3 linked regions of the Elephas maximus indicus genome follow. The protein of the gene in region 3 purifies or fractionates together with the protein of the main gene of each other region. This does not show direct contact. Links are inferred from orthologs where the notes say so. Each region holds a gene or a part of one and is shown on either strand. Other genes may lie near its edges.

Region 1 (7,650 bases), on a different chromosome or scaffold from region 3:
GATTATTTTCTAGAGGGTTATACAGAAATAAAAACCTGTAATTCCTGGGATTTATTTTTTAAACATTCAGTTTTGAGAGTCTTTTCTTAGAAATCTCATTTACAGTTTCTGGTTTTGAACAAAAGGTTGCTTACAGGGTTTTCATGTTGCTGCTTATTTACATTTTAAAAGGTTTCTCAGATTAACACTGTGTGCTTCTTCACCCACCTTGATCAGAAACGGCACGATGTAAAACCGGTTGCATAATCTGTAATTACCAGGTTGTGTGTGTGTCTGTCCTTGCAGAGAGGGGAATGCAAAGAAACTTTATAAATAGATACGTCAGTGGAAAAACAAACCACCTTTGTTTAACTAAACTTTCTATTTGTAACGCTACAAAGGGTTCTCATTTTAAATGTTTAATTTCACAGTCAAGGTACATGTTTCAGAACTATTGAAAAGAGATCAAATGTTATGTGTTACATGAAATAAAAGTTTAAGTAGCTTTTAGTTTGCCTAAATTCTAAGGCAGGAGCCCTGGTGGTGCAGTGGTTAAACCCTTGGCTGCTAATTGAGCTCACCAGCCACTCCGTGGGACTACAGACCTGGCCATCTGCTCCTGTAAAGATTACAGCCGGGGAAACTCTGCAGCAGTTCTACTCTTGTCATAAATAGGGTCACTCTGAGTCGGACTCAACTCAAAAGCACCTAACAACGAATTCTAAGTGTTACTAATTTTGGTTGATTAACTTTATTGACCTTTATGTTCAGAACATTGAAATGCAGGTTAAATTCAAACCTCTCCTTTCATTTGGAACTGGTAACTGCTAGTTATTTTAACTTTATTAATAGTTGTTGTTAGGTGCCATCGAGTCAGCTCCAACTCATAGCGACCCCGTGCACAACAGAACGAAACACTGCCTGGTCCTGGGCCATCCTCACAGTTGTTGTTATGCTTGAGCTCATTGTTGCAGGCACTGTGTTGATCCACCTCACTGAGGGTCTTCCTCCTTTCCACTGACCCTATACTCTGCCACGCATGATGTCCCTCTCCAGGGACTGATCCCTCCTGACAACATGTCCAGGGTATGCAAGACGCAGTCTCGCCATCCTTGCTTCCAGGGAGCATTCCGGTTGTACGTCCTCCAAGACAGATTTGTTCTTTTGGCAGTGCATGGCATATTCAACATTCTTTGCCAACGCCACAATTCAAAGGCATCAATTCTTCTTCGATCTTCCTTATTCATTGTCCAGCTTTCACACGCATATGATGCGATTGAACATACCTGGCCTTGGGTCAGGCGCAGCTCAGTCCTCAGGGTGACATCTTTGCTTTTCAACACTTCAAAGAGGTCTTTCGCAGCAGATTTACCCAATGCAATGTGTCTTTTCACTTCTTCACTGCTGCTTCCATGGCTGTTGATTGTGGATCCAAGTAAAATGAAATCCTTGACAACTTCAGTCTTTTCTCCATTTATCATCATGTTGCTCATTGGTCCAGTTGTGAGAATTTTTGTTTTCTTTATATTGAGGTGAAGGCTCATACTGAAGGCTGTGGTCTTTGATCTTCATTAGTAAGTGCTTCAAGTCCTCTTCACTTTCAGCAAGCAAGGTTGTGTCATCTGGATAAGGCAGGTTGTTAACGAGTCTTCCTCCAATCCTGATGCCCTGTTCTTCTTCATATAGTCCAGCTTCTCGGATTATTTGCTCAGCATACAGATTGAATAGGTATGGTGAAAGGATACAACCCTGATGCACACGTTTCCTGACTTTAACCCAATCAGTATCCCCTTGTTCTGTCCAAACAACCACCTCTTGATCTATGTACAGGTTCCTCATGAGCACAATTAAGTGTCCTGGAATTCCCATTCTTTGCAATGTTATCCATAATTTGTTATGATCTACACAGTCGAATGCCTTTGCGTAGTCAATAAAACACAGGTATACATCCTTCTGGTATTCTCTGCTTTCAGCCAGGATCCATCTGACATCAGAAAGATATCTCTGGTTCCACTTCCTGTTCTGAAACTGGCCTGAATTTCTGGCAGTTCCCTGTCAATATACTGCTGCAGCCATTTTTTTTTATATTAATTTTTATTGAGCTTCAAGTGAATGTTTACAAATCAAGTCAGACTGTCACATGTAAGTTTATATACACCTTACTCCGTACTCCCACCTGCTCTCCCCCTAATGAGTCAGCCCTTCCAGTCTCTCCTTTCGTGACAATCTTGCCAGCTTCCAACTCTCTCCATCCTCCCATCCCCCCTCCAGACAGGAGACGCCAACACAGTCTCAAGTGACCACTTGATATAATCAGCTCACCCTTCATCAGCATCTCTCACCCACCCTCCGTCCAGTCCCTTTCATGTCTGATGAGTTGTCTTCGGGAATGGTTCCTGTCCTGTGCCAACAGAAGGTTTGGGGACCATGACCGCCAGGATTCGTCTAGTCTCAGTCAGACCATTAAGTCTGGTCTTTTTATGAGAATTTGGGGTCTGCATCCCACTGATCTCCTGCTCCCTCAGGGGTTCTCTGTTGTGCTCCCTGTCAAGGCACTCATCGATTGTGGCTGGGCACCAACTAGTTCTTCTTGTCTCAGGATGATGTAGGTCTCTGGTTCACGTGGCCCTTTCTGTCTCTTGGGCTGTTAGTTGTCGTGTGACCTTGGTGTTCTTCATTCTCCTTTGCTCCAGGAGGGTTGAGACCAATTGATGCATCTTAGATGGTCGCTTGTTAGCATTTAAGACCCCAGACACCACATTTCAAAGTGGGATGCAGAATGTTTTCATAATAGAATTATTTTGCCAATTGACTTCAAAGTCCCCTTAAACCATTGTCCCCAAACCCCCGCCCCTGCTCCGCTGACCTTTGAAGCATTCATTTTATCCTGGAAACTTCTTTGCTTTTGGTCAAGTCCAGTTGAGCTGACCTTCCATGTATTGAGTGTTGTCCTTCCCTTCACCTAAAGCAGTTCTTATCTACTAATTGATCAGTAAAAAAACCCTCTCCCACCCACCCTCCCTCCCCCTCCCCATGACCACAAAAGTATGTGTTCTTCTCAGTTTATATTATTTCTCAAGATCTTATAATAGTGGTCTTATACAATATTTGTCCTTTTGCCTCTGACTAATTTCGCTCAGCATAATGCCTTCCAGGTTCCTCCATGTTATGAAATGTTTCACAGATTCGTCACTGTTCTTTATCGATGCGTAGTATTCCATTGTGTGAATATACCACAATTTATTTAACCAGTCACCCGTTGATGGACACCTTGGTTGCTTCCAGCTTTTTGCTATTGTAAACAGAGCTGCAATAAACATGGGTGTGCATATATCTGTTTGTGTGAAGGCTCTTATTTCTCTAGGATATATTCCGAGGAGTGGGATTTCTGGGTTGTATGGTAGTTCTATTTCTAACTGTTTAAGATATCACCAGATAGATTTCCAAAGTGGTTGTACCATTTTACATTCCCACCAGCAGTGTATAAGAGTTCCAATCTGTCCGCAGCCTCTCCAACATTTATTATTTTGTGTTTTTTGGATTAATGCCAGCCTTGTTGGTGTGAGATGGAATCTCATCGTGGTTTTAATTTGCATTTCTCTAATGGCTAATGATCGAGAGCATTTTCTCATGTATCTGTTAGCTGCCTGAATATCTTCTTTAGTGAAGTGTGTGTTCATATCCTTTGCCCACTTCTTGATTGGGTTGTTTGTCTTTTTGTGGTTGAGTTTTAGCAGAATCAGATAGATTTTAGAGATCAGGTGCTGGTCGGAGATGTCATAGCTGAAAATTCTTTCCCAGTCTGTAGGTGGTCTTTTTACTCTTTTGGTGAAGTCTTTAGATGAGCATAGGTGTTTGATTTTTTGGAGCTCCCAGTTATCGGGTTTCTCTTCATCATTTTTGGTAATGTTTTGTATTCTGTTTATGCCTTGTATTAGGGCTCCTAGGGTTGTCCCTATTTTTTCTTCCATGATCTTTATTGTTTTAGTCTTTATGTTTAGGTCTTTGATTCACTTGGAGTTAGTTTTTGTGCTTGGTGTGAGGTATGGGTCCTGTTTCATTTTTTTGCAAATGGATATCCAGTTATGCCAGCACCATTTGTTAAAAAGACTATCTTTTCCCCAATTAACTGACTCTGCGCCTTTGTCAAATAGCTGCTTGTATGTGGATGGATTTATATCTGGGTTCTCAATTCCGTTCCACTGGTCTATGTGCCTGTTGTTGTACCAATACCAGGCTGTTTTGACTACTGTGGCTGTATAATAGGTTCTGAAATCAGGTAGAGTGAGGCCTCCCACTTTCTTCTTCTTTTTCAGTAATGCTTTGCTTATCCGAGGCTTCTTTCCCTTCCATATGAAGTTGGTGATTTGTTTCTCTATCACCTTAAAAAATGACACTGGAATTTGGATCAGAAGTGCATTGTATGTATAGATGGCTTTTCGTAGAATAGACATTTTTACTGTGTTACGTCTTCCTATCCATGAGCAAGGTATGTTTTTCCACTTAAGTATGTCCTTTTGAATTTCTTGTAGTAGAGCTTTGTAGTTTTCTTTGTATAGGTCTTTTACATCCTTGGTAAGATTTGTTCCTAACTATTTTATCTTCTTGGGGGCTACTGTGAATGGTATTGATTTGGTTATTTCCTCTTCGATGTTCTTTTTGTTGATGTAGAGGAATCCACGTGATTTTTCTATGTTTATCTTATAACCTGAGACTCTGCCAAACTCTTCTATTAGTTTCAGTAGTTTTCTGGAGGATTCGTTGGGGTTTTCTGTGTATAAGATCGTGTCATCTGCAAATAGAGATAATTTTACTTCCTCTTTGCCAATCTGGATGCCCTTTATTTCTTTGTCTAGCCTAATTGCTCTGGCTAGGACTTCAAGCACAATGTTGAATAAGAGCGGTGATAAAGGGCATCCTTGTCTGGTTCCCGTTCTCAAGGGAAATGCTTTCAGGTTCTCTCCATTTAGAGTGATGTTGGGCTGCAGCCATTTTTGAATGATCTTTAGCAAAATTTTGCTTGTGTGTGATATTGATGATAAAATTGTTCTGTAATTTCCACATTCGGTTTTCTTGGGAATAGGCATGAATATGGATCTCTTCCAGTCAGTTGGCCAGGAAGCTGTCTTCCATATTTCTTGGCACAGATGAGTGAGCACCTCCAGCGCTACATCTGTTTGTTGAAACATCTTGATATTCCATCTATTCCTGGAGCCTTGTTTTTCGCCAGTGCCTTCAGAGCAGCTTGGACTTCTTCCTTCAGTACCATCGGTTCCTGATCATATGCCACCGCCTGAAATGGTTGAATATCTACTAATTCTTTTTGGTATAATGACTCTGTGTTCCTTCCATCTTCTTTTGATGCTTCCTGTGTCGTTTAATATTTTCCCCATAGAATCCTTCACTGTTGCAACTCAAGGCATGAAGTTTTTCTTCAGTTCTTTCAGCTTGAGAAATGCTGAGTGTGTTCTTCCCGTGGGTTTTCCATCTCCAGCTTTTTGCACGTCATTATAATGCTTTACTTTGTCTTCTCGAGCTGCCTTTTGAAACTTCTGTTCAGTTCTTTTAGTTCATCAATTCTTCCTTTTGCTTTAGCTGCTTGACATTCAAGAGTAAGTTTCAGAGTGTCCTGTGACATCCATCTTGATCTTTTCTTTCTTTCCTGTCTTTTCAATGACCTTTTGCTTTCTTCATGTATGATGTCCTTGATGTCATTCCACAACTCGTCTGGGCTTCGGTTACTAGTATTCAGTGCGTCAAATCTATTCTTGAGATGGTCTCTAAATTCGGCTGGGATATACTCAAGGTCATATTTTGGCTCTCGTGGACTTGCTCTGATTTTCTTCAGTTTCAGCTTGGACTTGCATATGAGCAATTGATGGTCTGTTCCACAGTCGGTCCCTGGCCTTGTTCTGACTGGTGATATTGAGCTTTTCCATCGTCTTTTTCCACAGATGTAGTCAGTTTGATTTCTGTGTGTTCCATCTGGTGAGGTCCATGTGTGTAGTCACCGTTTATGTTGGTGAAAGAAGGTATTTGCAATGAAGAAGTCGTTGGTCTTGCAGAATCCTATCACTCGATCTCCAGCATTGTATCTATCACCAAGGCCATATTATCTAAGAAGAAAAATCTTTCTGCACCCTAGATCCTGTATTTTCCAATGTATCATAACTTTAAGTTCTTTTCTTACTAAAAATACTGTGTTCTTTTCACCATAGAAAAGTTAGACTATTAAAAAAAATTAAGCCGTTAATTATTACCTTAACTTTTAATAGAAGAACAATAACTTCAGTGGAAGAGAGTGGTAAAGATTTAGAGAAGGACTCAATACTAACCCTTCTACCAACTCTCATTCCTGCCCCAGGCCCAGTGCCAATGCCTAGAATTTTTTAGTTAGTTCTGGTAGTGTAGTGGTTAAGAGCTCGGCTGCTAACCAAAAGGTCGGCAGTTCGAATCCTCCAGCCGCTCCTTGGCAAACCTGTAGGGGTAGTTGTGCCCTGTCCTGTAGGGCCGCTATGAGTTGGAATCAACTCAGTTGCAGTGGGCTTCCTTGGATTAGATCAGTACTTCTCAAATTTGTGCTCACATATTCTCTTCAGAGGCAAAGGAAGCCCAAAGGTGTGGAAGTGTGGCTTGAGACTTCAAAATATTTGTGTTTTTTTCCTTCAGAATTCTAGGCAGTTCTGCATTGTCCTCCGTTAGGTTGTTACTCTGGCTGTGTAAGGTGTTTTCCAGGAATGCCCACCATGCTCATTCTGTGGTTTTGTGTGCCACAGAGCTGAGTACCACAGCCTGGGAAGAAGTGTTAGAATTTTTTCTTTGGTTTATTCATTCATAAGATATTCATTGAGGACCTGCTTTATGCCAGACACTGTGCAGGTGATACACACAAGTCCCCGTCCTTACGGGCCTGTGGTAGTAAAGACATAAAAATCATGTGTAGTGAGGTATGGTAAGTATGGCGGTGCCCATACAGACAGTGCCAAGGAGATAGTAACTGTCTTGAGATCAGAGACAGCCCCTGAAATAGGTGGATTTGAGCTGAATTTTGAAGGACTAAAAGCCTGCAAAATAGTATTAAATCACAGTTTTTTAAAAGTGTGGCTTACAAAGCATTGTATAATGAGTATGTGTCAAAAATGTATTTAACTCGTTAATGAAGGAACCAGCAAGATGGTAAAGTTGGTTCAAAGTAATATCGTAGAGACCAAAGTATATGTAGTCAATGAAAGAAAAGATATAAGATTTCAAAGTTACCTCAAATTGGCTGATGGGGTTTCCACTTCTGTGTAAGATAAACTAACAGACTGGATTGACCCTCCCAACTGAAACAGCAGAAAAGTTGGCAAATATATGAAACAGAAGTTCTCAGGACTTTGAACAGTAGGCGTTGAAGGAGAGTGATTTCTGAGAGACAGTAAACAAGGTAAGCCCTACAGTTTCCCCATTTTACTGCCTGGAAGGACTTTACAGACCACAGCACGGGAAGGAAAAACCCTGGAGAGCCCAGCAGGGTCCCTAAGCTGAGGACATGGAGCTAGGAGTCTGGGAAGATCAAGGTAGTTAGGACAGATTATTAGAATGTAGAGAGTTGCAGAGAGAGCTAGAGCGCCAGGTGGAGATACACAGGGATCCCCCTTCAGCCTTCTGTTAATACCCATCAACACATGG
Region 2 (7,265 bases), on a different chromosome or scaffold from region 3:
CACTTTCAGCCAGCAAGGTTGTGTCATCTGCGTAACGCAGGTTGTTAATAAGTCTTCCTCCAATCCTGATGCGCCATTCTTCTTCATATAGTCCATCTTCTCAGATTATTTGCTCAGCCTACAGATCGAGTAGGTATGGTGAAAGAATACAACCCTGACACACACCTTTCCTGACTTTAAACCCATCAGTATCCCCTTGTTCCGTTTGAACTGCCTCTGGATCTATGTAAAGGTTCTTCATGAGCACAATTAAGTGTTCTGGAATTCCCATTCTTCACAATTTATCCATAATTTGTTATGATCCACACAGTCGAATGTCTTTGCATAGTCAATAAAACACAGGTAAACATCCTTCTCATATTCTCTGCTTTCAGCCAGGATCCATCTGACATCAGCAATGATATCCCTGGTTCCACGTCCTCCTCTGAAACCGGCCTGAATTTCTGGCAGTTCCCTGTCGATATACTGCTGCAGCCGTTTTTGAATGCTCTTCAGCAAAATTTTGCTTGCGTGTGATATTAATGATATTGTTCTATAATTTCCACATTCGGCTGGATCACCTTTGTTGGGAAACGGTAGCTTTCGGGACCCCACAATCTGTAAAACAATGCTCTACCCAGAATGAAATTCCAAAAAGAAGTTTGTCAAAAGTAAAAGATTCAGATTGATTCATGTGATGATTTTCTTTATATAATATTTTATTGTGTTTTTGGTGAATGTTTACACAGCAAATTAGGTTCCCACTTAACAATTTCTATATAAATTGCTCAGTGACATTGGTTACATTTTTCACAAAACCAACCAAACCAAACCCAGTGCTGTCAAGTTGATTCCGACTCATAGCAACCCTATAGGACAGAGTAGAACTGCCCCATAGGGTTTCCAAGAAAAGCCTGGCAGATTCGAACTGCCGACCCTTTGGTTAGCAGCTGTAGCACTTAACCACTAGGCCACCAGGGTTTCCCATTTTTCATAGTGTATCGAAATTATCATTATTTCCATTCTGGTTATTCTGTTTCCATTAATCAAATTTCCCTGCCCCCCTCTCCTTACCTTCTCATCTTTCTTTAGAGTATATGTTGACAAGTTTGGTCTCACACAGATGATTTTTCAAAGGAGCACAGTACTCACAGGTGATACTGTTTATTTTATAAGCTGTCATGGATTAGGAAACCCTGGTGGCATAGTGGTCAAGTACTACAGCTGCTAACCAAACGGTCGCCAGTTCGAATCCTCCAGGCGCTCCTTGGAAACTCTATGGGGCAGTTCTACTCTGTCCTATAGAGTCGCAGTGAGTTGGAATCAACACCACGGCACTGGGTTTTTTGGGTAATGGGTTGAATTATGTCCCCCCAAAAATGTGAGTATCAACTTGGTTAGGCCATGATTCCCAGTATTGTGTGGTTGTCCTCCATTTTGTGATTCTAATTTTATGTTGAGAGGATCAGGGTAGGATTGTAACACCACTCTTATTCAGGTCACCTCTCTGATCCAATGTAAAGGGAGTTTCCCTGGGATGTGGCCTGCACCACATTTTGGAGATTAAACGAAAGAGAAGCAACCAGAGTTGAGGACCTCATACCACTAAGAAAGCCTTCCCCTGGAGCTGACGCCCTGAATTTGGACTTGTAACCTACTAGGCTGTGAGAAAATGAATTTCTTTTTGTTAAAGCCATCCACTTGTGGTATTTCTGTTATGGCAGCGCTAGATGACTAAGGCAGCAGTCATACCATTTTCAACCCCAGAAAAACGCTTGAAGCTTATAAATCCTGAACCAAAGAATAAAAACAGAGATTAGAAACTGCTCCTATTTATTTTCATCTTAAAATTTTAAAGAATCAGGTTCAGAATAGTATAGCTAATAAATGGCTGCTTTGACCACATTCTCAAATGAACAATTTAAAATAAGTTGTTGGTCTTTTCACGATAAAAACACTCGAAAAATCAGGAATGGAAGGAAACATTTACAACCTAATAAAGGTCACCCATTCCAAAGAAACACGATTCAACAGAACGCAGAAATTATCAAGCAATATCATGCACAAGTAAAATTTTGCTGAAGATCGTTCAAAAAGGGCTGCAGCACTATATAAACAGGGAACTGCCAGAAATTTGCCAGGATTCACAAGAGTACATGGAACAAGGGATATCATTGCTGATGTCAGATGAATACTGGCCGAAAGCAGAGAATACCAGAAAGATGTTTACCTGTGTTTTATTGACTATGCAAAGACATATGACTGTGTGGATCATAGCAAATTATGGGCAACACTGTGAAGAATGGGAATTCCAGAACGCTTAATTGTGCTCATGTGGAACCTGTGCATAGACCAAGAGGCAGTCTTTCAAACAGAACAAGCTGAATACTGCCTGGTTTAAAACCAGGAACAGTATGAAAGTGTTGTATCCTTTCACCGCACTTATTCAATCTGTATGTTGAGCAGATAATCTGAGAAGCTAGACTATGTGAAAAAGAACAGGGCATCCCGTTTGGAGAAAGACTCATTAACAAACTGAAATACGCAAATGACACAACCTTGTTTACTGAAAGTGAAGAGGACATGAAGCACTTACTGATGAAGATCAAAGACCACAGCCTTCAGCATGGATTCCGCCTCAACATAAAGAAAACAAAAATCCTCACAACTGGACCAATGAGCAACATCATGATAAATGGAGAAAATACTGAAGTTGTCCAGGATTTCATTCCATTCCACCACTTCCTAAAGGATTATTACTCTAAGTGTCATCCTCAGCACCACTCACCAATACCCTCGATTTCTACTTGTTATCTGGATCCCTGGCCCCCAATCTTTCCCTCTTGCATCCCCTTTCTAAAGCATCCCCCTCTGTTATCGATAAAGTAACAAGCACCCTGTTGCTTTGCACAGAGTCCGAACTCTCCTTGTTGGATTCTGTGTGTTTGTGGGTGTGTGCTTTGTGGCTAATTTTTAAAACAACTTTAAAACCAGTTGCTGTTGAGTAGATTCCAATTCACACCGACCCCACGTGTATCAGACAGAACTGTGTTCCGTAGGATTTTCAGTGGCTGATTTTTTGGAAATAGATCTCCAGTCCTTTCTTATGAGATGCCTCTGGGTGGACTCAAACCTCCAACCTTTTGCTTAGCAGCCAAGCAGGCTTCCTAAACAACTTTTCCAAAATGTAATTTATATGCAGTAAAATTCAGTCATCTGAAGAGAACTTTCAATTATTTTTAGTGAATTTACTTAGTGGTGCAGCCATCACCATAATTCAGTTGGTGATGGCCTGGTTGGCTTTTAAAGGCAGGTCCACCAAAAGCTTACCTATAAATGCAGTGTCTGAAAGTTAGGCCTGGAGGGCTTGGAATTTTGAATAACAGTCCAAAATCCCCAAGCAACATGACACTAAAGGATCATTTTCTGCTCCTTTGGTTAAAAATGAAGTCTTGGTTTACCACTAAGCCAACCATAATATCTACAAAGGTTAAGCTAACCCACATCTCCATTTTTAACCAAACAGCTTTCCATTTTCCCCTCCTGCTAGCACCTCAGCAGGGATCCTCCCTACTGGGCTGCGGAATTTTTCTTAAAAGAAGCCTTTCTAGCTCACGGCCCCCCCCAAGCCCGTCAACCTTCTCCTCTGTCTTCAGCAACTCCAGCCCTAGTCCAGGCCCCCCACGCCCATCCGCCTGATCAAGAAACACTAATCACCTTAATGTGTGGCCTGTCTTTGCCAATTCCAACTCCGCCATTACCACTTGCACCGAAGTGTCCCTTCCTACCTTCCATCCCAGTCAGCCTTGTTTTCCTAACCTCTAGCCAGGCCCTCTGCCTGGCTCCCCCACCTCTCCATCTTTGCCTCTCCAGCACTTCTCGTCATCACTCTCCAAGCACCAGCACCCAGGATCACGAAAGCGCGAAGGTTAAAACAATATTTGTCGCGCCGAGAGAAGGGGTGTGTGTTGGTGTGTGTCTAAGTGTATGTGCTTGTGTGTGGAAGAAACCAATGGTGTCCGCGTCGGTGTCCAACTTCTGGAAATGCCTATCACTGCTGGCTAAGAAAGCCAGGATCAGCTCCCCAGTGCACTCCCGCACACCGCACTCGGCCATCCTGAGCTCAGAGGCAGCAGGGCTTCAACCTGAACCCCAGACCTGCAGGACCCCTGCCCTCGAATGACACACCACCCCCAGTCCCCGCGCTGTGGTAGGGCCGGGCGCTACGTCACCCATTGTTTACAAATCTAACAGCGGGTAGAATTCTGGCTCCCGCGACTGCAGGCGCGCAGCGAGCGCCTGGCGGGCTCCGGCTTCCTAGTCCTCCGCATCCCCGGCCCTGGCTTTGGCGTCAGGATCACTCCCGGCTCTGCTGCGGCCCACCGAACCCTAACGGGAGCCGGGCCGCCGACGACGCCTGCAGAGCTCCGGGTGCCCGGGCCGGGGGCCATGCCGTGCCGCAGGGAGGAAGAAGAGAAAGCCGGCGAGGAAGCGGAGGGGGAGGAAAAAGAGCAGGAGGATAGCTTTCTCCTGCTGGAGCAGCCAGCGAGGCTGGGCGGATCGGCCGAGGTGGACCGGCTAGTGGCCCAGATAGGCGAGGCGCTGCAGCTGGACCCGGCGCAGGACAGCCCGGCCTCCTTGTGCGCACCGCCGTGGCAGCCGCTGCAGCCACCGCTGCCCCTGGCTGAGGTGCCGGCGTACAGGGCCCGGCCCCCGGCGCTGCCGCTGCATCTGCCGCCCTCATCGGTCGAGGCCACGAACCTAGGAGCCCTGTATAGCACCTTCGGGGACTGCGGCAGCGTGCGGGACTGGGCTGCGCCCTACTTAGTGGCCGAGTTTGCCGCCGGCCCCACGGCGCTGTCACTACTACCCCCTCAGCCCGGCTTTGAAGGAACTCCCGGATCCGGCAAGCCGGGCGCCTCGCGGCAGCTGTCCGGGCGGTGCCGGCGAGGATGGCTCCGGGGTGCAGCCGCCTCCCGCCGTCTACGACAGCGACTCGGGCCCCGGGCCAAAGGCCGCACCAGCGACGACGACTCTCACCGTCTCCTGCAGCAGCTCCTACTCTCGGGAAACCTCATCAAGGAGGCAGTGCGGAGGCTTCGCTCGCGACGGCTGCATTTATATGCAAAGCTTCCCCAACGCCGGCTCCCGGGACCTGTGCTCCCCCGCAGCTCTCGCGCAGCCTGTAGTGACCCTGGCGCGTCCAGGAGGAGCGCGCCGCTCAGAACTGCAGACAGAGTTCTTGTCCCCAGCAGCTAACAAGCCCAGGGTACCCACAGCGCCAGCCTCAGACTAGGCGTCGGGGGTACCCACGGGACTGCAGCCCTGCTCGAGACTAACGGAGAACTCGCGCCTTTGAAAGCAGAAAATATAAGCTAATGAAGACGAGGAATAGGAAAATCGCGAAGGTTTCCGCGGGGAGCTGGGGACAAGCGCCCCTCTCTTTGAAATACAGGTCTTGGCCCTATTCAAGGCAGATTACATTTCGCAACCCCAGTCCTAATAAGACACGTACTGGTGGCGCAGCGTGCAGTTCCTTGCAGCTAGCTTCTCAGGGCCCTACAGCCTGGTGGCCATGTGACTACAGTCCACCCTACTCAGGACAGCAGAGCTCGGGAAGGACGCTGTCCAGGACCGGGGCCCGGACGCCCTCGTCGCGAGTCCAGCGGCCTCACTGGGCTCAGGCTGGAGGGCGATCCCAGTTACTTGATCAACCGTTTCAGGGCTGGTCCCTGATCCATTTTGAGGGAGGGAAACACAAATAGACATTGATAATTCCAGGGAGCACCTCAAACTGCCAGGCCTGAAATTTTACATTTAAAAAAGGACCTCATGTCTTTTGAAGTGCTCTTTCTTAATATAAAACGCACGTACCATGAAAGGAACCTTTGAGGGTTGAATAGGAGTAGCCTTTTTCTCTGCCCCTTCTTTGGGGCCGGCTGCTGTTTTCAGAGCCGTCGGGGAAGGCTGTACTCCTAGCCTGGGGACAGGAGAGTAGGACCCGGACAGGAGGTGTTGGGTGGTGGAAAGGTAGAGTGAGGCGGGGAGTGACCCGTCGGTCCTCTCTAAAGTGGCTTTTAACAGCCGCCCCGCCCCTCCTCCGGGTCAAGGTCAGTTTTCTGGTCGCACATAGCGGTGCCAGGCTCCAGCAGGGTAGAAGAGTCGCCGGGCTCTGCCTATACTCCGAGAAGTGCGCGGTGTTTTGCAATTGCTGGAGTCTCCTGAGGACACGCGCGCCGCCGCCACCGCGGGTGTGGAGAGGCTGGGCTGTGCCCGGAGCCTGTGCTTCCCACTGACGGCTGCCGCCCCTGGCCACGCTCTGGGCTGTCACGGACACTGTCCTGAGACGTGGCCCCAGATCCCACCTCTGTCCCTCGGCTCTCCTCTCCTACTCAAGCGGGTGGCGCGGGCGTTCCTGGGGGCCCGGGCTGGGGGCTGGGGAGACGCCACGTGACAGGCACTCCAGGGACAGCCTCTCACTGCAGCTTATAATGGGCTCTCCGGGGCTTTTTGCAATAACAGCTGCAATTTCCTGGATAGGAGTTGATTTCCTCCCTCTACCCCACCGCCAGCCATGCCCACTCGCCTTTGTAAGTGAAGTAAACCGAGTAGAAAATGCTACTCTCCAAATGGAGAAGCAGCAGGCTTTGCCTTTGTGAACCGTGGTGAAGTGCTTGGAGCACGCTGCGCACTCACTCCAAGGGAGCTAAAACCTTCTAGTTCTTGCTTTAGCTTTGTAGGAGTCAATGGCTTGTCCATCATCTGGATGTGGCTATCTACACTTGGCACTGGAGTGTCTGGAATTGTGGCTATCCTCATTATAGGATTTTATCTTAAATACGTTTTGAATAAATGTGTTGGGTTTTTGCTTGGTTTTATCCTTCCGCTCAGTGGAAAAGATGTACAGAACACATTTCTCTGATCTCCATAAACATGAAAACACCTGAAATCCCTGTCAGCCTGGCTTTGAGATGGTAATTACAGCGTCTTTGTGACTGAGGATCTCACTAGTTAGACAAGGTCTGTGCTGGGTGTGTATTGGTCCTGGCATGAAATTCAATGAAAGTGAGGTCAGGCTTTGGACCAATCCCATTCACCCAAACCTCAGAGCCATTTGGATTACTGTTTAGTAATGGAGATGATTTATGATTTTTTTTTTTCTGACTATGTTAGCAAGGGACATCAGATCAGTCATCGCAGACTGGGAAACATATCGTTTTTTTCTTACTAGTGCAGTCATTAAAGGATTCCCTGGGTGGTGCAAACATTAAGTGCTCGACTACTAA
Region 3 (7,225 bases):
GAGGTAGGGAGGGGCTGCTGGAGAATGTATTCAAAACAATAAAACTTCGGACCTTTTTCATGCAGTGATCTGTCCTGGGTGCTGGGTGTAGGCACCACGGGGCCACAGCTTTGGCTTGATTTTCAAAAGACAGGGCCCTGGACTTCCCTGCACCTGCAGTGGGTCTGTGGCCTGGTCTAAATGGGTCAAATCCGGGCCTGGGAAGTGACCTCCTGACCTCAGAAATGATTCAGGTCTCAGCAGACTCTGGCCCTGTATCTGACTGCTTCTTTATTCCTGGAAAAGTGCTTGGGACTTATCGCCACCACCGAGTTGCTCTCACTGTTCTGGTCACCTGAAATGCCCTGGCTCCAAGTTCCCATACCCTGAGGTCCCTAGTGAGGGCCAGGGAGTGCTTTTGCACTGCCCCCATATCTCGCCTTAGGTCACTTCTAAGCAAATCAGGAAATCCCTGGGAGACAAGTCCTGAAACATCTTGAAATGTTAGACCTTACTACGTACCTTAGTGGAAACGCCCCCAGCCAGCAAGTTGAGGAGGGACTGGTTTGATAACCACAGTTAACCATTCATTGACCTACTTCGTGCCCAGCACCTAGCTAGAAGCTGCAGTGGTTTATCTCCTTCAAGACCCAGCAAGGTAGGGGCAACCAGCTCAGTTAAATGACTTGCCCAAGGCCAAGAGGCGGTAGGAAGCAGAGCCAGGACTTTAAATGAGATCAGCCTCCAAAGCCAGTGTTCTTTCAACAACTCCTTTGAGTTTTCCTCCTTAAAGCCAAGATGGTTGGATCAAGATCAGGGACTTGGGATCACAGGATAAAGTTAGAAACCAAGATTGGAGAGCTTTGTAGGATGAGGGATCAAATAATCCGTGAGAAATCCGGGTTTAAAGTTTCCTTAGAGACAAGCTCAACCTCTTCAGTGCAAGTGAGGTCCTTGAGGAAGAGAAGAGAAGGGGTTTCCCCAAGGCCATGGCATTTAGGGCTTAGGGCTTGTTGGATTGGCTTCACTGCAGTACCACCCGGTGCAAGCCTGAGGGGGATGGAACATTGGCAACTGTCTACCCACTCTCCCTTAAACCTCATCTCATGCAAGCCCAGAGTGGGTGGTCCCAGATAATGGCAGTGAAGAGGATCCAGGGATGGGGTATTGGCAGGAAATCCAGACTCCTATGGCGGGCTGCGGGCAACTGCTCCCTCTCCTGGGTGATGTAAGTCACTCCCTGGGGTGGGGGCCCCTGGGAGCGGCTGTGCTGGGTTATTTCTGGAAGTTGGGCTGAGGCATGTCTCCTAGCAACACAGATGCAGTTGAGAAATTATTGGTGGTGGGTGATGGAGAAAGGGGGGTGTCACTGGAGGAAGGGGGGTAGGACCCTTAGCTCATGAAGAGTTTTTTTCAAACACTGCTAACCAATTCTAAAATGGATTAAAACGTTCTCAGCTCCAGAACTGCTCTCCAGGATCAGACCACAGTCCTATCAGCCTTCTTGTCCCAGATTCTGGATAAGGGGATGTCAGGTAGCATCTGGGCTTGACAACTCCAGTGGCTCCCCCAATCTTGAATGACACATCTAAATCTATTCACAGGCCTGAAATACTAAAGTGTCCTGCAAGACACCCTTGGTTCTCTCCATCTCCTCTGAAGTCTTTGGCTACAAGTATAAAGTACTTTATAGATTCTTTACATATTCACTTACCTCATCAGAGACCCTCTTCACATCTAATAGCCCCCAGCACCCCGACAGATCCCTATAGCCCCTTCCTGATGCTTCTCAACCATCCCTCAACCCTTCAGGTCCCTCAGAGATCCCTTAGACACCAGTAGATTCTCCATCTCCCAAAAGCCTTTTACGTCCCCTCAGACTTCTCTGCTTGTCCCCAATAATTGCTCTCAGGTGCCTACAGCCCATCAAAGATCCCTTCACCTCTTCAAACCCTCAAACCCTCCTGACACCGTTAGGCCCCTCATAGACACAACCCATCCCTAGCACCTGTCTATGAATGTTTTCAGCCCCTACAAACATCCTGACAGATGCCCTTAGATCGTCGCCCTCAGACTCCCATGGGCCCCAATAACCTCAGCAGCGGTTGCCTACGCGGAGCCCACTGCGTATGTTCTGGCCGTTAAGTAACCGCCGCTACCCTGCCCCGCTCTGCCGGCCTTGTCGACCTCCGTCCTGTCCAGTGTGGTCTCCAGGCCCTGGCGCTTGGCTCAGATTTTTACTTTCCTGCTCCAAGCTGCCGTCAGAGGGCAGCAGGCGCCGCTTAGCGAGAAACTACAACTCCCAGAAACACCTGCTTCAAGCTATGCGTGATACAGCCTCATGCCGTGAGAAAGAAACGGAGCGTGCCCGCGTTTTGCCTTCTGGATGATGTAGTCCGAAAAGGTTTTAGCGCTAAAGCCAATCTCGCCCCAGGGCGCTGTGTCTGCTGGGAATTGCAGTTAGAAACACACTGAGTGGACGGGATTTTCTTTAGGCCTCAGAAAAGAGCAGAACAGTTCTGCTACCTGAGGCTTGGATTAGCGTCCAAAGACTCCATTTCCCACCATTCCACGAGGCAGGAGGAGCCAAGAGCGCTTTCGCTCTAGTTTCAAGTGTTGGGGGTGAGACGCACGCACGCACGCACGCACGCACGCACGCACGCATGCACGCACAGACGAACTCTGTTTCCCAGCGCACTTTGGGGTTACGCTCCTTCTCGTTTAATTGATGAGGCGACTCAACGAACACCAACCCTAGGCTACAGCTTGCAGCTGGCTTCGCTGTTTTGAGCGCTCCGAACCTCAAACAAAACGCAATGCCGTGCATTCAATTCTGACTCATAGCGACCCTGTAGGACAGATCAGAACTGCCCCCAGGGTTTCCAAGGCTGTTTTTTTTTTTTTTTTTTTTACATCTTTTCGGAAGCAGAGTGCCCCATCTTTCTACCGCAGAGCAGCTGGTGGATTCCCAACCACTGACCTTTGGGTAGAAGCCGAAGGCTTAATCACTGTGCCACTCGAGCTCCTGTGAGCCCTCCAGGATCCTGTAACTTAGGATGCGGGCGGACGCAAAGAGCTGAGTGGGGGTTCAAGACAAATTCTATTTTCATTTCTTTTAACGCTTGGCTCAGCCTCGTAGTGCGACACATGTTAGAAAAAGATAGACCGTATCCGAAAACTGTGTTCTGAAAGACTGTTTCCCAAATCTTTTAGAGGAGGGATGTTTTTCTTTTTCTGCCTAATGTAAGGACACCTGGAACTTGAGTGCTCGGACTCAATTTTTCAACATCCCCCGATCGACTTCGGCACTTTCTTGGGTCCTGGGGGACAAAAAAGGAGGCGTTGAAACACATTTCAGTATCTCAAGGGGAGTGCCATCTGGCTCAGTGGTAGTCATTGGACTCCATTTCCCGGCAAGCCCCTGCGGTCTCGTTTCACAGAGGGGGGGTCAGAATCCGGCCTGGACCCTGGACTATTCCCCAGCGTGCTTCAGGCTCAAAGTGACAACCTTCCTCTTCTCCTCACCCCTCCCCCCGCCAATGGGGAGGCTACCTTGAACTTCAATCCCCAGAAGCCACCACTCCTCGTGTAGCAACTGCGCTGACGCCTTGGTGTCGACTACATTTCCCGACAGGAAGTGCGGCGGAGCGTACAAGGGAGGGGGGACGAGGTTCCAACTCCATTTCCTAGCCTATCTCCGGAACTGCAGTACCCCCTGGGGCTGAGGAACCTCACAGGACTCCATTTCCCGGCTTGCTTTGGGAACTCCTTTACATCCGCAATGCGGTGTGGGCGCGGCCACGACTCCATTTCCCAGTTTGCCCCACGGTTCGATATCTTCAAGTCTACGGACCGACTCAATTTCCCAGTGTGCACCTGGAGCCGGTATTCACTGGTTACCGGACTCCAATTCCCGGCATGCACCAGACACTGCTCATTGACGGAGTGCCTGCGACTACTTTTCTGAAGCACCTCTCGGGGCTCGCCGTTGCCGCAGTGTAATAAGTGTGGGGCCCTGACTATGTTCCAAAGTGCTTCGCGTTCCGCCGTCTGCAGTTCACCGATGGATTGCCCAGGAATTTATTTCCCAGCGTGCAGTGCGACCCGTCGTCCCCCGCCATCTTCCCTGTGGCCTTTGCGAACTCCATTTCCCGGCGTACCACGCGGCTTTCTCTACGGGCCGACGGCGGTGACACCGACGCGCAAAGCAAGCGGACTGCATCTCCCGACGTGCTCCGCGGCGGGCGCTGGGCCGGAGCCCGAGCGGCGCGGCCTGAAGGAGGCCGGAGCACTGAGGAGGCGGCGGCAGCAGCAGCGGCGGCGGGGGCAGCCCGGGGAGCCCGAGCCCCTTGGCCTGGGTCTGCGCTCGGCGCCATGAGCGGTGGCGCGCCTTCGGGGGGCGGCCCTGGGGGCTCGGGCCGGGCGCGGACCAGCTCGTTCGCGGAACCGGGCGGCGGAGGCGGAGGCGGCGGTGGCGGCCCCGGGGGCTCGGCCTCCGGTCCAGGCGGCAGTGGCGGCGGGAAGGCGTCGGTCGGGGCCATGGGTGCGGGCGTGGGGACCTCGAGCTCCGGGGGTGGCCCCAACAGCAGCGGCGGAGGAGGCAGCGGCGGCCCAGGCGCGGGCACCAGCTTCCCGCCGCCCGGAGTGAAGCTGGGCCGTGAGTACTGGCTGCTCCCGTGGGAGGTGGAGATTGGGATTCCCGGGGTCCCTCAAATGTCGATCAGGTTCTTTCATATACCCAGATAAGAGCCTGAGGTCATTGTGCCTCCCAAAACTGGCGTTTGAGCTTTTTACTTTTCAGAGAAATGAATTTTGGGGTCACCATTATTTAGAGTTTACAGTCAGAATTATTAACTTTTAGAGAAGCGGGCTACAGTCCGTGCTCTTCCATTACCAATGTCTCGCGTTTTTGAGTTTTAAAAACAAGTTTGGATATTCGTATCCCTTAAAGAACAGGTTTTGGGGTCACTGTCCTTTGCAAATGGGGGCCTAAGATTATTGTGTTCTAAGAAAACAAGAATAAGATCGCCATCCTCCAAAAAGGGAGATCCGAATTTGTTGTCTCTCAAAGACTGGGGATCTGGATTCAGTATCATTTACAAACGGGGATTTGGGGTTATTGTGTCCCAAAGAACAGGGCAAGGGTTTTCTAAACCTGATAACCAGGTCATCTTCCCTTTTAAAACACCTGGTCGGGCGTCATCACCGGCCCAAAATATGTAGTACTAAACCCCCAATGGTGGAAATTATTGATTATTGCATCTGAGCAATAAGGACAGGTGTCACCAGCCCCCCACAGAACAGGAATTGAGAGTCACCATGCCTTTCAAATCCACTGTTATTTAAAGAACATGGATCGGTGGGTGTTTTTTCACAAAAATGGAATGGGGGGGGGGAAGAGTCCTCCCTAGAATGTGGATTTGAAGTCGTAATTCTCTTAGTAATTTTTCTGGAGTATGGTGCCACTGGGTCTGAAAAAGTGATGTAGGGTCATCTCTCTCCAAAAGAGAATCGCTGTTACTGGGTCCTCAGTTCTCAAAAGAAAAGGGGTCACTATTCTCTAAGAATGGTTCCAAAGTTTGCTGCTCTTCAGAGAATGGGGATTGGGAGTCATAGTTTTTCTTTAAAGAACTGAGGCTGGGAGAGCCCCCTGATGATAGGGATTAAGTTCATCATTCTCACAATTTGGTGCTTGTCTGTCAGGTAGGAGTCTGGGGCCCTGGACTACCCAGATGAGGAGGTCAGGTCAGTGCCTTTTCTAACCCCGTAGTAATTGGGTAAGGGGTAACTCCTCCAAAAGTGAGAGTCAGGGTACCACCACTCTATGAGGAGAGGTCGTTCGTTTTTGTCACCAAGTTACTAGCTCTACCTGAGAAACTTAGAAATTACTAGCCCCGCAGGCGTTTTCTCAAAATAGGAGTATCTCAGGGTTATCGTTCCGTTAAAAGTCAATAAACCCAGAGTAGATGGATTCAACCAAGAGTGACCAGCCATTTATTGCTTTCTAGAATGGAAGTTGTATTATCAGCTCTTGAACAGTGAAGAGATTTAGGTGTCAACATGCTCCCCTATGGAAAGAGGCAGGATTTAGGGTTTCACTGGGAGGGTTCCAGCATCCACCTTGCCTCAAGGAGGGGGAAGGAACAAAGAGGCCCCCTCCCCACAGCCCTGGGATGGGGTGGTGGCCAGAGGGGAAATGTCAGTGGATCATCTGTCCCCATTGTCCCCCAGGTGACAGCGGGAAAGTGACCACAGTGGTAGCCACCCTAGGCCAGGGCCCAGAGCGCTCCCAGGAGGTGGCTTACACAGACATCAAGGTGATTGGCAATGGCTCTTTTGGGGTCGTGTACCAGGCACGGCTGGCCGAGACCGGGGAGCTGGTGGCCATCAAGAAGGTTCTCCAGGACAAGAGGTTCAAGGTACTTAGGGGGGAATGGGAAGAGGAGAGTTGGGCATTGGACGTAACCTGGTGCGAGAGCCCTAGCAAAACAGATGGAGCCTGGGTTCCACAGGAGATCCAATCATGGCCCAGAGGAGAAAGGGGTAAAGAAGGGAACGAGGTGTAGGGAAGACAGGAAGTGTTGAATCCTGGAGATACCAGAGCTGACATTTGTTGAGCGTTCATTCTGCGTAAGTGCTTTATGAGGTTCCTGGGTGGTGCAAACGGTTTGCGCTCAGCTACCAACAGAAAGGTTGGTGGTTGAACCCATCTAAGCAGTGCCTCAGAAAGAAAGACCGAACAATCTGCTTCCCTAAAGATCACAGCCAAGAAGATCCTGCAGAGCTTTGTTCTACTCTGTGACACGTGTAACGTATGCTTCATAGGCAAGCTTTTAGCTAATTTACATATTCTCTGAGGGTTGGTACTGTCCTTATTCCCGTTCTAAGCAGGCAGAAACTGAGACTCAGATAAGCGAATTGCATAGGAAGCGTCTACGTTAAGGTTGGAGTCTGGCCTGTCTGATTGCCAGGCCCTGCACCTTAACTTCTAGTTACATTTCTTCCCAGAGGAGAAAGGACACTGGCAGGGCCATGGAGGTCCACTCTGCCCCAGGTGCTTGGCGAGTTGCGCTCACCAAACCCTGCACTTTGCTGCCGGATGCCCTTCTCTCATTCATGTGAAGGTGCCCAATGGGCTAGTGGAGGCCCAGGGCACTAGAAGAAGATGGAGAAGAAGAAAGTAGAGGAATAACTGGTGTGCAAAGGACTGGCATTTTGGAGTCTGGTCTAGTCTGGATGTAGGTTA

The links. Proteins that work in one complex are often made in the same cells at the same time.
Region 1: the proteins of GSK3A (region 3) and GSKIP purify together in Homo sapiens (affinity purification with mass spectrometry; 7 studies listed by BioGRID and IntAct, with this or other methods). This does not show direct contact. The link is inferred for Elephas maximus indicus from reciprocal best matches to the Homo sapiens genes GSK3A and GSKIP.
Region 2: the proteins of GSK3A (region 3) and FRAT1 purify together in Homo sapiens (affinity purification with mass spectrometry; 4 studies listed by BioGRID and IntAct, with this or other methods). This does not show direct contact. The link is inferred for Elephas maximus indicus from reciprocal best matches to the Homo sapiens genes GSK3A and FRAT1.

What each region holds. Positions count from the first base shown.
Region 1 is NC_064828.1:117,391,125-117,398,774, reverse strand, and holds the start of GSKIP (GSK3B-interacting protein), read left to right. Parts: upstream 1-4,623; 5' UTR 4,624-7,650. UniProt on the Homo sapiens protein: A-kinase anchoring protein for GSK3B and PKA that regulates or facilitates their kinase activity towards their targets.
Region 2 is NC_064834.1:49,097,663-49,104,927, forward strand, and holds FRAT1 (proto-oncogene FRAT1), read left to right. Parts: upstream 1-4,238; 5' UTR 4,239-4,428; coding exon 4,429-5,238; 3' UTR 5,239-6,754; downstream 6,755-7,265. UniProt on the Homo sapiens protein: Positively regulates the Wnt signaling pathway by stabilizing beta-catenin through the association with GSK-3. May play a role in tumor progression and collaborate with PIM1 and MYC in lymphomagenesis.
Region 3 is NC_064829.1:108,674,004-108,681,228, forward strand, and holds the start of GSK3A (glycogen synthase kinase-3 alpha), read left to right. Parts: upstream 1-4,168; 5' UTR 4,169-4,353; coding exon 4,354-4,636; intron 4,637-5,682; coding exon 5,683-5,724; intron 5,725-6,210; coding exon 6,211-6,398; intron 6,399-7,225. UniProt on the Homo sapiens protein: Constitutively active protein kinase that acts as a negative regulator in the hormonal control of glucose homeostasis, Wnt signaling and regulation of transcription factors and microtubules, by phosphorylating and inactivating glycogen synthase (GYS1 or GYS2), CTNNB1/beta-catenin, APC and AXIN1.